3 linked regions of the Canis lupus familiaris genome follow. The protein of the gene in region 2 interacts with the protein of the main gene of each other region in a pairwise test. Links are inferred from orthologs where the notes say so. Each region holds a gene or a part of one and is shown on either strand. Other genes may lie near its edges.

The links. The genes of interacting proteins can lie anywhere in the genome.
Region 1: the proteins of EXOSC5 (region 2) and FCHO1 interact in binary tests that used the Homo sapiens proteins (3 or more experiments, as listed by UniProt). The two-hybrid records come from large-scale screens. The link is inferred for Canis lupus familiaris from reciprocal best matches to the Homo sapiens genes EXOSC5 and FCHO1.
Region 3: the proteins of EXOSC5 (region 2) and TNFAIP1 interact in binary tests that used the Homo sapiens proteins (3 or more experiments, as listed by UniProt). The two-hybrid records come from large-scale screens. The link is inferred for Canis lupus familiaris from reciprocal best matches to the Homo sapiens genes EXOSC5 and TNFAIP1.

The regions. Positions count from the first base shown.
Region 1 is NC_049241.1:45,538,859-45,543,162, reverse strand, and holds the start of FCHO1 (F-BAR domain only protein 1), read left to right. Parts: upstream 1-1,496; 5' UTR 1,497-1,587; intron 1,588-2,838; exon of another isoform or gene 2,839-3,130; intron 3,131-4,304. UniProt on the Homo sapiens protein: Functions in an early step of clathrin-mediated endocytosis. Has both a membrane binding/bending activity and the ability to recruit proteins essential to the formation of functional clathrin-coated pits.
Region 2 is NC_049222.1:113,387,511-113,391,020, forward strand, and holds part of EXOSC5 (exosome complex component RRP46), read left to right. Parts: intron 1-2,276; coding exon 2,277-2,390; intron 2,391-2,902; coding exon 2,903-3,024; intron 3,025-3,510. UniProt on the Homo sapiens protein: Non-catalytic component of the RNA exosome complex which has 3'->5' exoribonuclease activity and participates in a multitude of cellular RNA processing and degradation events.
Region 3 is NC_049230.1:42,558,344-42,562,494, forward strand, and holds the start of TNFAIP1 (BTB/POZ domain-containing adapter for CUL3-mediated RhoA degradation protein 2), read left to right. Parts: upstream 1-1,343; 5' UTR 1,344-1,489; intron 1,490-4,151. UniProt on the Homo sapiens protein: Substrate-specific adapter of a BCR (BTB-CUL3-RBX1) E3 ubiquitin-protein ligase complex involved in regulation of cytoskeleton structure.

The DNA of each region.
Region 1 (4,304 bases), on a different chromosome or scaffold from region 2:
TGCCTCTCTCTCTGTGTGTCTGTCATGAATGAATGAATAAAATCTTAAAAAAAAAAAAACAACAACCCGTAGATTGAAAACAGCTCTAAAATAAATCGTTTAGGGACGCCTGAGTGGCTCAGCAGTTGAGTGTCGGCCTTCGGCTCAGGTCATGATCCCATCCTGGGGTCCTGAGACAGAGTCTCACATCGGGGTCCTGGCATGGAGTGTGCTTCTCCCTCTGCCTGTGTTTCTGCCTATCTCTCTGTGTGTCTCTCATGAGTGAACAAATAAAATCTTTAAATAAAATAAAATAAAAATAATAAAATAACTCATTTATTATAAACAAATAAACAAACAAACAAAAAAACACATCTATAGTTGCCAGGGGAGCAGGGACTGTTAGGGGCAGGGGTGGAGGCAACAAGAGACCCAAGTAGGAAGCAGAGGCAGCCTACAGGCCTGGTCTCTTGCCACCGGGGCATACAGAAAAATGGACGAGGGGCAGCCCCAGTGGCTCAGCGGTTTAGCACCGCCTTCAGCCCAGGGCCTGATCCTGAAGACCTGGAATTGAGTCCTACATCGGGGGCCCTGCATGGAGCCTGCTTCTCCCTCTGCCTGTGTCTCTCTCTCTGTGTATCTCTCATGAATAAATAAATAAATAAATAATAAATAAATAAATAAATAAATAAATAAATAAATAAATAAATAAAATATTTTTTAAAATTAAAAAAACAAGAAAAATGGACGAAGTGGGGTGTTTCAGAGACACGGGGCCAGTAGGAACAGCGTGGAGGTCAGGAAGAGAAGACTGTGAGACTCCAGGGCCTCTGGCCCACGCTCCTGAGCTGCCCTTACTGAGCTGGGGTTGCTGATGGGGGAGCAAGCCTGAGGCGGGAGGTCACCCCAGTGTTTCAATGAAGGGTTGAACGGCAAGGGGCATTTGACATCTCATTTTATGAGGGCCCAGGTGTGGGGGACGAAAGCCTTTCTGATTTGTGGCAAGACAGCATTCTTGGGGATAGCTCTTCCCAGTCCTGGGGCCAGCTCCCTGAGACTGCCCCCAAGGATGTGGGCTTGCCGTGTGGCCTCCTGGCAAGTTCCTGCCTCCACGGTGTTTTTCTCCATCTGTAAAATGGGAATCAATGACGTCCCGCCCGCAAGCCTGTGGGGACCTCACATGAGCCCCGCTCAGTGCCCGGCACACGGTGGGACCCCGATAAACTGCTCACCCCTTCGCCCTCCCCCTGGGTCTCCGGTGGCGGGAGAGGAGCCTGTTGCTTTAACTTATGCAAATACACTGCGGGTGGTGGAAGTGGGGGGTAATGAGAAAAAAAAAAAAGCAGCCTCATCTCTGGATCAGCCAATCAGCTCTCCGGACTGACGGAGCCGGCCGCCTAAATGGCCCAATGGCGGGCCGCGCGGGCTCCAGCCCCGCCCCCGCCTCCGGGGGCCGTCTGGTGGGTGGGGACTCTCGACGCCACGCCCCGGGGGCGGAGCCAGGCGGCAGCCGCGCCGCAGCCGCGGAGGTAGGGGCGGGGCGGGCTCGGGTGTCAGAGACCGAGCCGCAGGTGGCGGCGGGCGCGGGGCTCGGCCGGAGCTCGGGAGGTGAGTGCTGTCCTCGGGACCCCCCGAGTCCCCTGGCCCGCGCAGCCCCTCATGCGCACCGCGCCCGGTAGCCCCGGAGGCCACTGGGGGCAAAGGCGCGGCGGGGCAGGAGGGATGGCGAGCTGGGGGTTGGGGGCTGCGCGGTGGGCCCCTGGCCTCCCAGAGACCATCATCCAGGGCCTGCGGAGGGAGACAGGGACCCCTCTCCAAGTCCCCCGTCTCCTGGCCTAGAACCGGAGCGTGCAGGATGGTGGCTATGACGTGAGACCCCTCCCCAAATCCCTTTATTCTAAGCCTGGATCTGGGTGTAGGTTCCAGGGCTGCAAAGATGGGGGCGCCGCTCTCCCTCCAGCCTGGGACCCAGACAGCCGAAGTGGAGACCACGCTCAATTTCCCTCTTTCCACCTCTGGTCTGCAGACCCCTGAGGACCAAGATGGAAGAAGCCCCTTCCCTTTTTCTCCACTGTGAACCGTGATGGGCCTGGAGGAGGAGCTGGGGGTCCCCGGGCCTCTCCTCTAGACTGTTCTATCCCAGTCCCCTACCGCAAGGATGAGGTGGGGGGCGTTTCACTGTCATCCTCTGCAGGGACCCCCAAAGTTGGAATTCTGGGGAGGGGGTCAGTGTGGGGTGCCTTGCCTCTCTGGGACGGGCCAGGCCAGGCCTGGGAGGGCCTGAAGCAAGGACTTGGGGGTGGTCCCTGCCTCAGTGGGGGGTGGGCAGCAGCATCTGTTCTCTGGGATTAAAATAAATCGAGGTAAATTAGGATCTCGCCGGAGGCTGACTGCGAGTGGGGTGCGGAGGAGGGTTGTGGGGTGGGCGGCCCCTCCATCTGCCTCAAATCTGGGAGTTGCCTGCCCCAGCCGCAGTGGGGACCAGGAGGCAGCTTTGATGGACCTGCCTCACTGGTGACCTTGGGCAGGTGACAGCACCTCTGTGAGCCTTGGTTTTCTCCTTTGAAAATAGGGATGAGGGCTTGAGAGGCTGTATTCTCTACAGATTCTGAACCCACACACCCCACCATATACCAAACTATAACTCCCTACTTCACTTAAGATGTGGTTTGGGGGTGAGAGGGCAATGGGTTTGGAGACCCCCTGACATGCCTTGCTAGCCTCTGAACCTCAGTTTATGGTGCTGCAAAATGGATTCGTGGTCACTCTGGCCTTGCTGCAAGGGCTGTTCTGCCAGAGAGTAAAACATGTTACCCGGCTGCAATCATTGGAATAGGGGCTCCACCGCCCTCGTCTTACCGGTGGGACTGCCTGGGGCACACCCTGACCCATATATTGTCACCCACGCCAGGGGTGAGCCGGTTCCATGGGTGGGGTGGCGGGTAGGAGGAGGTGGAAGGCACCAGGCCAGCCTGTCCCCTGACTCTGCGGTGGGCACAGGGGTGAGCTCAGAGCTGGGAGTCCAACACCACCAGGTTCAAACTGATTCCTCCCGTGTGTGGCTTTGCCCCCCTGGGCCTCGGTATATTCTCCTGTGAAATGGGCTGGATCCCCCTTGGAAGATCAGAGGAGACGTGGGAAGACGGGAGCCCTGTAAATACAGACACGGTCATTATAATACTAATTACAATATTAGCGATCATAAATGAGGTCACAGCTGACAGGGAGAAGGGAGGAGAGAGGGGAGCCTGCCAGGGTGTTGCCAGCTGCGTCTCTAGAGCCCGCCAGTTAGGTACACAGTTGGCGCTCAATAGGTGTTTGCCAAAGAGATGATAAAGGGAGGAGACTAGTGGCGGAGGATGGAAAAATTACTGAGCTTGACAGCCTGGTCACTGTGCGACATGGGGCATGTGCCTCAGTTTCCCCATTGGGGTGATGGTCAAGATGAGACACTGCCTCGAAGCGCCATTGTAAGAGTCGAGCCAGATTGTGTAAAGGTCACTGGTGGCCGGTGGCGAAGGGAGGAGGCTCCTGACAGGACAGGTCATTGAAACAGCGCGGCCACAAGGCTGGCTAGTCACTGGAAAGGGAGAGAAAAATCTCAGACTGGCCCCCCACTATGCACACACTAGTGTCCAGGAGGAGCAAAATGTCAGAGCCTGTTTCATAGGACCCTGGAGGCACAGAGGTCAGGGTAGGCCCAAGGTCACAGCAGGAGGTCAGGGCTCTGGACAGGTGGCTTAGAGCCAGTGAGCTCTGCCTTTGCTGACTCCAGTCCTGTCTTGTTTTATCTGTTCCTGGGCCTGCTCACATGCTCGACCCTGCGCAGAGCTGTGGGTTTTGGGGAATTGGTGCTGGGAAAGCAGAATCTCCAGGCAGCACCTGGGGCTGTCAGACACCTGCCCCCGCCCCCCAGGACTCCTCTCCGCTTCCAGAGGATGGGGGGCATCCTGGTCCAGCTGACTGCCTGCTGTGTGACCTTGGGCAAGTCCCTGTCCAGCTTTGGGCTTTGCCCTGGTGCTGTGGAGGCCCAGAGTCCTGGGTTGGAGCAAAGCTATTTTCTCCATCAGGTAGAGAGGCCTCCATGTCTTGGACACGGCACTTTCAGAGGCCCATGAAAGATAAGATGTTTTAACTTCTTTCAGAATCAGAAGGGAAAAAACATGGGCTTGGGGGTCAAAGAATACATTTTATTTATTTATTTATTTATTTATTTATTTATTTATTTATTTACTTATTCTTAACGAATTCATTTTAACACATACTATTAATATATTCATCTCTGTGCCAAGGCAATTTGTAACATATAGTTTGAAGTCTTTTTT
Region 2 (3,510 bases):
CTCCAGACCTGTCGGTGGACAGTCCGGACCTATGTCATCTGTGATGCTGTCAAGAGCTGTTTGGTGGAGTGGTGGGGTCAGGGAGGAGAAGAAGACAGCAAGTCAGACTTGTCTTTGAGAGCTTTGCTGGAAGAGGATCAGATAAATGGGGCAGGAGTTGAAGATGGATGTGGATCCAAAGAATATAGAATTCCTTGAATTGCTCCCGAAAATTGCTGGGGCCATGTCCCTGAGAAGATGAGAGGGAGGATCTCCTAGGTTCATGGGGGCCACAGGCAGCTCATCCAGAAAAGAATGAAGAGCAACGTGTGGATCTCGTCCTGTGTGGTTAAGTTCCCCTCTGAGGGCAGATTCTCCTGGAGCCAAGAGAATCCCTCAGCTCTGGTGCAGCTCCTTCTCCCCAACCCAGGAAACATGCCCTGACCCTGGGGACCTTCCCAGGCCCTCCTGGAGACTTTGCTCTTCTGCTAAAATCATATGCCTGGAGTTTCTTAGACTTCAGAAACACTGAGGAGGGTTAACGCCTTCCACGTTCTAAAACTCCCAAACTCTGGGACCCCTGGCAGACCCTGGAAAGTACGTCCCACCCGCCTTTGGCCTCCAAATCTCTGATGGGGTTGTTAAAAAGGCAGGGTCCCAGAATCCACCGCACACCTGCTAAGGCTGGCCCCTCTCCATCTGTAACCGCTGCAGAGATTCTGTTTGCAGTGTTTCGAAGCTGTGCTCAAGCGCTGTTTTTCCCACTGCAGACTGTGGGCCCAGCTGCACGTCAGAATGACCCGTGGGAGCTCTTATGCTCCCAGTGCCCATGCCCCACCCGGCAGCTGAATTAGGATCTCTGGGGGAGGGGGCTGGACGTCTTTTCAAGTGCCCCGGTGATTCTGAGCGTGCAGCCAGGGTTCAGGACCACTGCTGCGGTTGGCAGTACTTTTTAACTGGAATAGAGTAGGGGCGCTTGACGGACTCTGTCCAAGGAGCGTCCGACTCTCGATCCCAGGGCTGTGAGTTTGAGCCCCATGTAAAAATAAAATCAAAAAAGTAAATAAGTTGGGACGCCTGGGTGGCTCAGCAGTTGAGCATCTGCTTTCAGCTCAGGGTGTGACCCTGGAGTCCTGGGATCGAGTCCCACATCGGGCTCCCTGCATGGAGCCTGCTTCTCCCTCTGCCTGTGTCTCTGCTCCCCCCTCCCCCCGCCCCTGTGTGTCTCATGAATAAATAAATAAAATCTTTAATAAATAATAAATAAATAAAAAGTAAATAAAATTAAATGAACTAGAGTAGAGTAGAAAGCATTAGAGTGTCAGAGCAGTGATGGTAAGAGGCGTTTTATGAGGCCTTTGTTGCGTGTCCACACATGGAGATTTGCATGAACTTGGGGTGGTGCCAGAAAATACATTTTTTAATTGAGAGTTATGGCAAGAAAAGCTTCAACAGCCACTGGTGTAGTTCAGTCTCTTCATTTTGCAGATGGTAAAACTGAGGCCAAGAGAAGTGAGTACAATCAGCCAAGGTTACAGAGCTAGCAAGAAGCAGGCAGGACCAGAAGTCAGGGGTTTTGGGGGCTTTCTTTGTTTGGTTTTGGATTTTTTGAAGATTTATTTGACAGCAAGAGAGAGCGTGCATGCTTGCACAAGCAGGGGGAGTAGGAGAAGGAGAAGATCAGCCCACTTGGGGCTCGATCCCAGGATCATGACCTGAGCCAAAGGCAGATGCTCAACCGACTGAGCCACCAGGCACTCCCTGAAGCCAGGCTTTTGCTTCTCAGGTCTTACCTCCGCGGACCCCATTCGTGCCCACTCAGGACCACTCCTGGGTATTTCTCACTCTCGGGGGTCCCGATGACTGCAGAGTTTGGGGACGTGAGCCCGAGGGAAGAGAGCTAGGTTGGAGGAAGCTTTGTGAGGAGTTGAGACCAACTGCAGTAAGGAGGAGGAAGGTTAGCCCTCGGGAAGAACTTCCCGTTGAAGTTAAGAATAGCTAAAGTCAGTGGTGCGCTGGGCCATAGCTGCAGTGTTTGACGTGGATGACCTCGTTTAATCCTCACGACGCTACAAGGTTAGGTGCTGCCATCATCCCCATGTCCCAGATGAAGAAGCGTAGGCAGAGACGTGAGTGAAGCCAGTGCTCAAAGAACCACTACCAGCAAAAGGTGGGCCAGACCCGGGGCTGGCGCAGGGAAGGCCAGCCGCCAGCTCACTGCCCTGGTGCCCCCACCCTGACCCCTGCAGCCCCAGGAAGGCAAGGTGTGCATGAGACCTGCCCTGCTCTCTCCCCAGGGGACACGTCAGTCCTGGCGGGCGTGTACGGGCCAGCCGAGGTGAAAGTCAGCAAAGAGATCTTCAACAAGGCCACCCTGGAGGTGATCCTGAGGCCGAAGATCGGGCTGCCTGGTAATGGGCGGCAGGAGCTCCACCTTCTTCCCCTCCGCCGTCCCCACCCTCAGCTCTTTGCGCCTTTCCCCGGCTCTTGGCCTCCTGTCTGTCCCCCACCTCCTAGTCTGTCCTCCCTACTCCTCTTTCCTGGCTCCATCTCCCCTTCTTTCCACTAACCTGTTTTTCCACCCGTTTACTCTCCCCCTTACGCTGAGGCTGGGTTCAGCAGCCAGCTGAGAAGTGGGCAGCGGCAGGGGACAGAGGAACTCAGGGTTTTCCTCCCCCAAGAGGCTCCCTTGCTGGATGCTGGAGGGGGCAGGGGTGGGGCGGGGTGGGTCCGGTCAGGCCCTGCCTCCTTCCCACTGGGGGTCCTCTGTCATCCGTGCAGGGTCCTGCACCAGCCCTGGTGGAGATGGCAGGCCCTCTCCAGAGGGCTTGGGTGGGGCGTGTGGAGGAAGGTGAGCCAGATGGAAGGAAGGGAAGAGGCTGACAACCCCACCCCGCCCTGCCCCACCCCTGATTTTCCCCAGGCGTCGCGGAGAAGAGCCGGGAGCGACTGATCAGGAACACGTGTGAAGCAGTGGTATTGGGAACGCTGCACCCCCGCACCTCCATCACTGTGGTGCTGCAGGTCGTCAGTGATGCTGGCTCTGTATCCTTCTCCCCCCAGGCCGCCTCCTCCAGGAAGTCCTCCAGAATCTCCGTGGTGGCCTCCCTTGCTCTGTTAGCCAGGAGGCCTCCGAACACTTGACAGGCACCCTCTTATTGAAGAATAGCAAACCCACTTGAGTGCTCACCACGCGTCGGGCACTGGTCTGAGTGCCTTATACATGTTAACTCACTTCATCCTCACGGCACGACAGTTCGGTGCCACTATAATCCCCCATGGCCCAAATGGGGAAACTAAGGCACAGGAAGGTCAGCTTCTGTCTAATAATGCAGAGCGAGGATTTGAGCCCAAGCCATGTGCTCCCAGAGCCCGAGGCCCCGGGCAGATGGGAGTTCCTATGTTCCCATGTTTGAGGTGAGGAAACAGGCCCCGAGAGGGGAAGTCCCTTACCCAGGGTCACACAGCTGGAAGGCGGCAGGGGCAGAACTCAAGCCCAGGCCTGACTGCCTACAAAACCTGTGCCATTGA
Region 3 (4,151 bases), on a different chromosome or scaffold from region 2:
GAAATGTAATGCATTCCAGGAACCATAAGGCTAAAACCCAGTGAACAAGGGGGCATGTGGAAGAGGTAACTCTAGATGAGGAGGCCTGAGCGTTCATGGAGAGCTCTGAAAGCCACAGTTATGAACGTGGGTTTTATCATAAGGGTAGTGGGCAGCCAGCAAATTCTCAGCAGGAAAGGCAGACATATGTGTCTTTTACAACCATCACTCTGACCCAGGGTGGAGGAGGGAACAAGAGAGTGGGGCTACACATACCTTGTTCATCGCTGTAACCCTAGCATCTAGCAGGGTGCCTGCACTCAGTAAATGTCTGTGGAATGAATGACTGGAAACAGAAAAGGCTATTACAGTACCCAAGGCTTGGAAGAAAAGCGTCCCCATTTGCGATGTTACATAAGCTGATGTAATTAGTAAAGCCCCGACTGAATGTAGGAGTCTGGGATGAGGGAAGGAAAGAGGCAGGCAAGATTCCCCTGTATCTGGCTCGAGCGCCAACTTTTAAGTTCGGTGGGCAGAGCTGAATGAGACGGATAAGACCGGATAAGGAGGGCAGGGAGAGGGTTCACAGCCGACTATCAGATTCCCTCCCAACTCCCACCACACGTGCGTGTCTGAGCATCTGAGGAACACCGGGCACCAGAGCCGCGCGGGGCTCCCCGAAGACGGCGGCGGCGGCGACACTCTCCGCCTCCCTGGCTCTCCCAGACCCATTCCCGGCCCCGCCGGCAGGCGCCATTCGCGGGATAGTCGGCAAGGGGCGCCGGGCACACAGGTAGGAAGACCTGGGTGATGGAGCTGGCTGTCCACACTACGGAAACGCCTCGAACTTCTGGGCCGCGGTTTCGTCACAGGGCCGCTGCGAGCATCCACGCAAAGCTCCAGGCCCCAGCTGGAGTCTCACCGCTCGCAAAGACGCGCGCGGAATCCCCACGTTTCTTTCGGCCTGTCAGGTTCAGTCGCCCCGGGTCCGCCCGCGTCCCCCGGCCCGGAGTCGCTGCCTACCTGGCAACCCCGTAGCGGCGGCGCGCTACCGCCCGAGCTGTTTCCTGCAGGCAGCCTCTCTCCCCGGGCAGCAGCAGCCGGTGCCTCGCCCGCCGGCCTCAGCCGCTGCCACGGCTACTGTTTACCCGTAACGTCATTACCTGACTGCGGAAGTACTTACCCCGCCCAACCCGCAGAGCCTGCTGGGAAAAGGGCCTGTGGGGAGGGACGGCTGCCTACAAGATCCAGAGGCCTTTGCGGCGGAAAGGCTGCCGGAAGTAGCCGAACGCCAACAGCGGAATTCTCCCAGGGGCCCCTCCCTCTCCCGTGATTGGGTGCTGGGCATGGCGGCGGGGCGGGCGGGGCTGGGCCGCGGCTCAGGGCGGAGTCCGCGGGCGGAGGATGTGAGCTCACGGCCCGGGATTGCTGGCGGGCAGGCGGCCACAGCCCCGGGCGGCACGGGGTCGGCTTGCAACCCAGCTGAGAGGAGACGTGCCCCCCGGGAACGGTGAGAGGCGGGGTGCGGATGCCCTGGGGGACAGGATGGACGGGCCGCGGGCTGGAGCAGGAGCAGGGGCAGGAGCCCCACCCGGGGCTGGGGAGAAGGCGTGGGACGGCGGAGGGGAGATGGAGAGCGCAAGTCCTCCACTGGGGTGCGTGTCAGAATCGGTCGGCTTCTCGGTGTGAGGAGGGGTGCGGCCCGGGGAAGACTCCACCGACCACGGAGAGGTTGGGTCTCGCTAATCTTTCCAGACCTTTGGGACGAAACCTAAGATTTACACCTCGGATTTCTGCTGGATCCGCCTCCTCTACCCAAGATTGGCCACCCGCCCCCCACCCACCCCACCGAGTGTCATGGACCCATGGGTCCGTCTTCTAGGACCCCGCCTTCTTCCACGGCCGTGGTTGTGGTCCTGCCCTTCATTCTGCTTAGGTTCCCATTAGCCTCACTGAGGGAGACTCGGATACGCCCTCAGCCCCAGGCATCCCCAAATACCCACACACAAAGTCCGGAAGGAACTGCAGTGAGGCTATCAGTGGAAACTTCATTCTCTCTGGAATTACTTTCTGGGGCGTCACCTGCCAAAGATTCCTGGAGCCCATTGGCCCGGGAGGAATCTGAGCGGTCGGCATCTGAGCTGACGTCATCCAGGGGCTCAAAGCAATTGCTTTGTAGGCTCTGTTGGCCACCCCCTAGCCTTTGAGTTCCTTTACTTTGGCGGAACATATGTTTGCTTTCTTTGATCCTGGGGAAATCGGGGCTAGACTCAAAATGCATAGGGGACTTGCTAAAACCTGTTAAGGAGTGGATTTACTCCATTGGGGTGGGTGGGGGAAGGTGAGGTGATTTCATACTATCACGTGTTACTTAGGGATTGGACAATCTGCTGGTGAGGTTCATCTCCTCCGTACTCCATCCTTGAGGCAAGTGAGTCTCCAGGACAAGCCACCAAAGAAATTTGGCATTTCAGAAAGCAGCCGCTCTGGTCCTTCCTTGGACAGTCTTCCTAGAGGGCTACCTAAATCTTTTCAGGGACAATTTCAGTCTAACAAACTGAAATAGATTAAATACTTTCAGATGTGCATGACATTGTGCTAATCACTGTTTGGGATAGTAGAGCAGTAAACTTGGGGAAGCCGGTGCACTGCTTCTGGATCGCACTTGCAGGAGGTGATGTGCAACAGTAAACTTTTGCATACTGTGATGACTGCTGAGGCAATCACACCTTTTTTTCTGTCTGCATTACCAACACTGCAGGCCAGGCGTCCATCAGTTGCCTAGACTGCTGCTTCCTTTACTCTTCCTGCTTGCTCTCGTGCACCATTACAGTCCATTCTCTACAGGGCAGGCAGAGTGATCTTTTCAAAATGCAAATAACTCAGGACCTATCACTCCCCTGCTTAAAACCCGCCAATCGATTACCATTGCAATTAATCTAAAATGCAAACTCTCTAATGTGAACTGGCCCGTGCATTACCTGATTTTACATCAAGCCAACTACCCTCTTCTTTCTAAGTACTGGACATCTTGGCCTTCTTTCTGTTCCTGAAATTTGTGTCTGATTGAGAAACTTTGCACTTACTCTTCCATCTGTTTAGAACACTCTTTCAGACTTCAGCTGGAATGTCACCTTCCCAAAGAGGGCTTCCTGTGCCCCCATCCGTCTTAGTACTTCTCCCTAGTCATTCTCTTATCCCTAGTTTATTTATTGCATCTTACCTTCTGGAACTGCTTACTTAAAGGTAAGGTTGGTATCTATCTCTCTGTTCCTACTGCTTAACATAGTAGGCACTCAGTCTTGTTTTACTGCTGAATGAATTAAATGAAGTAATGTATATATTGTCTACACACTACCTAGACCATGGTAAACATGCAGCAAATGTTTGCTCTTTTTTTTTCAGTGAATGAATTTTAGTGATTCCTTAGAAAACCAAGATGTATATATAGTATAGAATCTAGCTCCTGAGGGGTGACCTGGCTTTTCCCTCCTCTGCTTTCCTCACTCCTCCTTCCTGTGAATGCCTATCTGTGTTTCAGTTTCCAAATCACTTAAAAGTTGTTTTTAGATTTATCATCTGGTCTTTTCCAGCCTTGTGGGTAGGGAAGAAAGGAAGGGATAGGGCTGGGCCCTATCCTTTCAGGAAAAAGAAGTAAAAATAGCCATCCTGTAGTTGTTCTAGCCTGAAAAATGGTGACAGTTTCAGGAACTTGGGACAGGGCGGGGATCAAGAGAGGTGAAGGTGAGGAAACCGCTGGGACCTGGGTAACTCTGCCGGGAACATTGACCAGTACCCTCCACCCCAGCTCATACCATGCTCTCCTGGAGCTGCTTTTACTTTACTTTCTGAAGCCACACTGTGGGTGGTGCTCAAAGTAAGCACTGGCGCAAGCTGCTTTGGAGCTTGGAATCTTTAGAAAGGAAGTGCATCCTGTCCCTCTGGCTCCTGGGACTCTCCTGCACTGGCAGAAGTCTTGGGTCCTAGGAATCTTGGGAAGAAAATATGTGGCTCCTCAGGGTAAAGACTTCTGCTGCCCCATCTGCTCCTCAAACCATCTCAGACTAGCTCCAAGGGTTTACTTGTCCTCTGTGCTGCCTTGACCTGTGCCGAGGCTCAAGGAGGCTGGCGAGATGATGGGCAGGCTCTGGAAGACTGTGCTGGTTCACAGT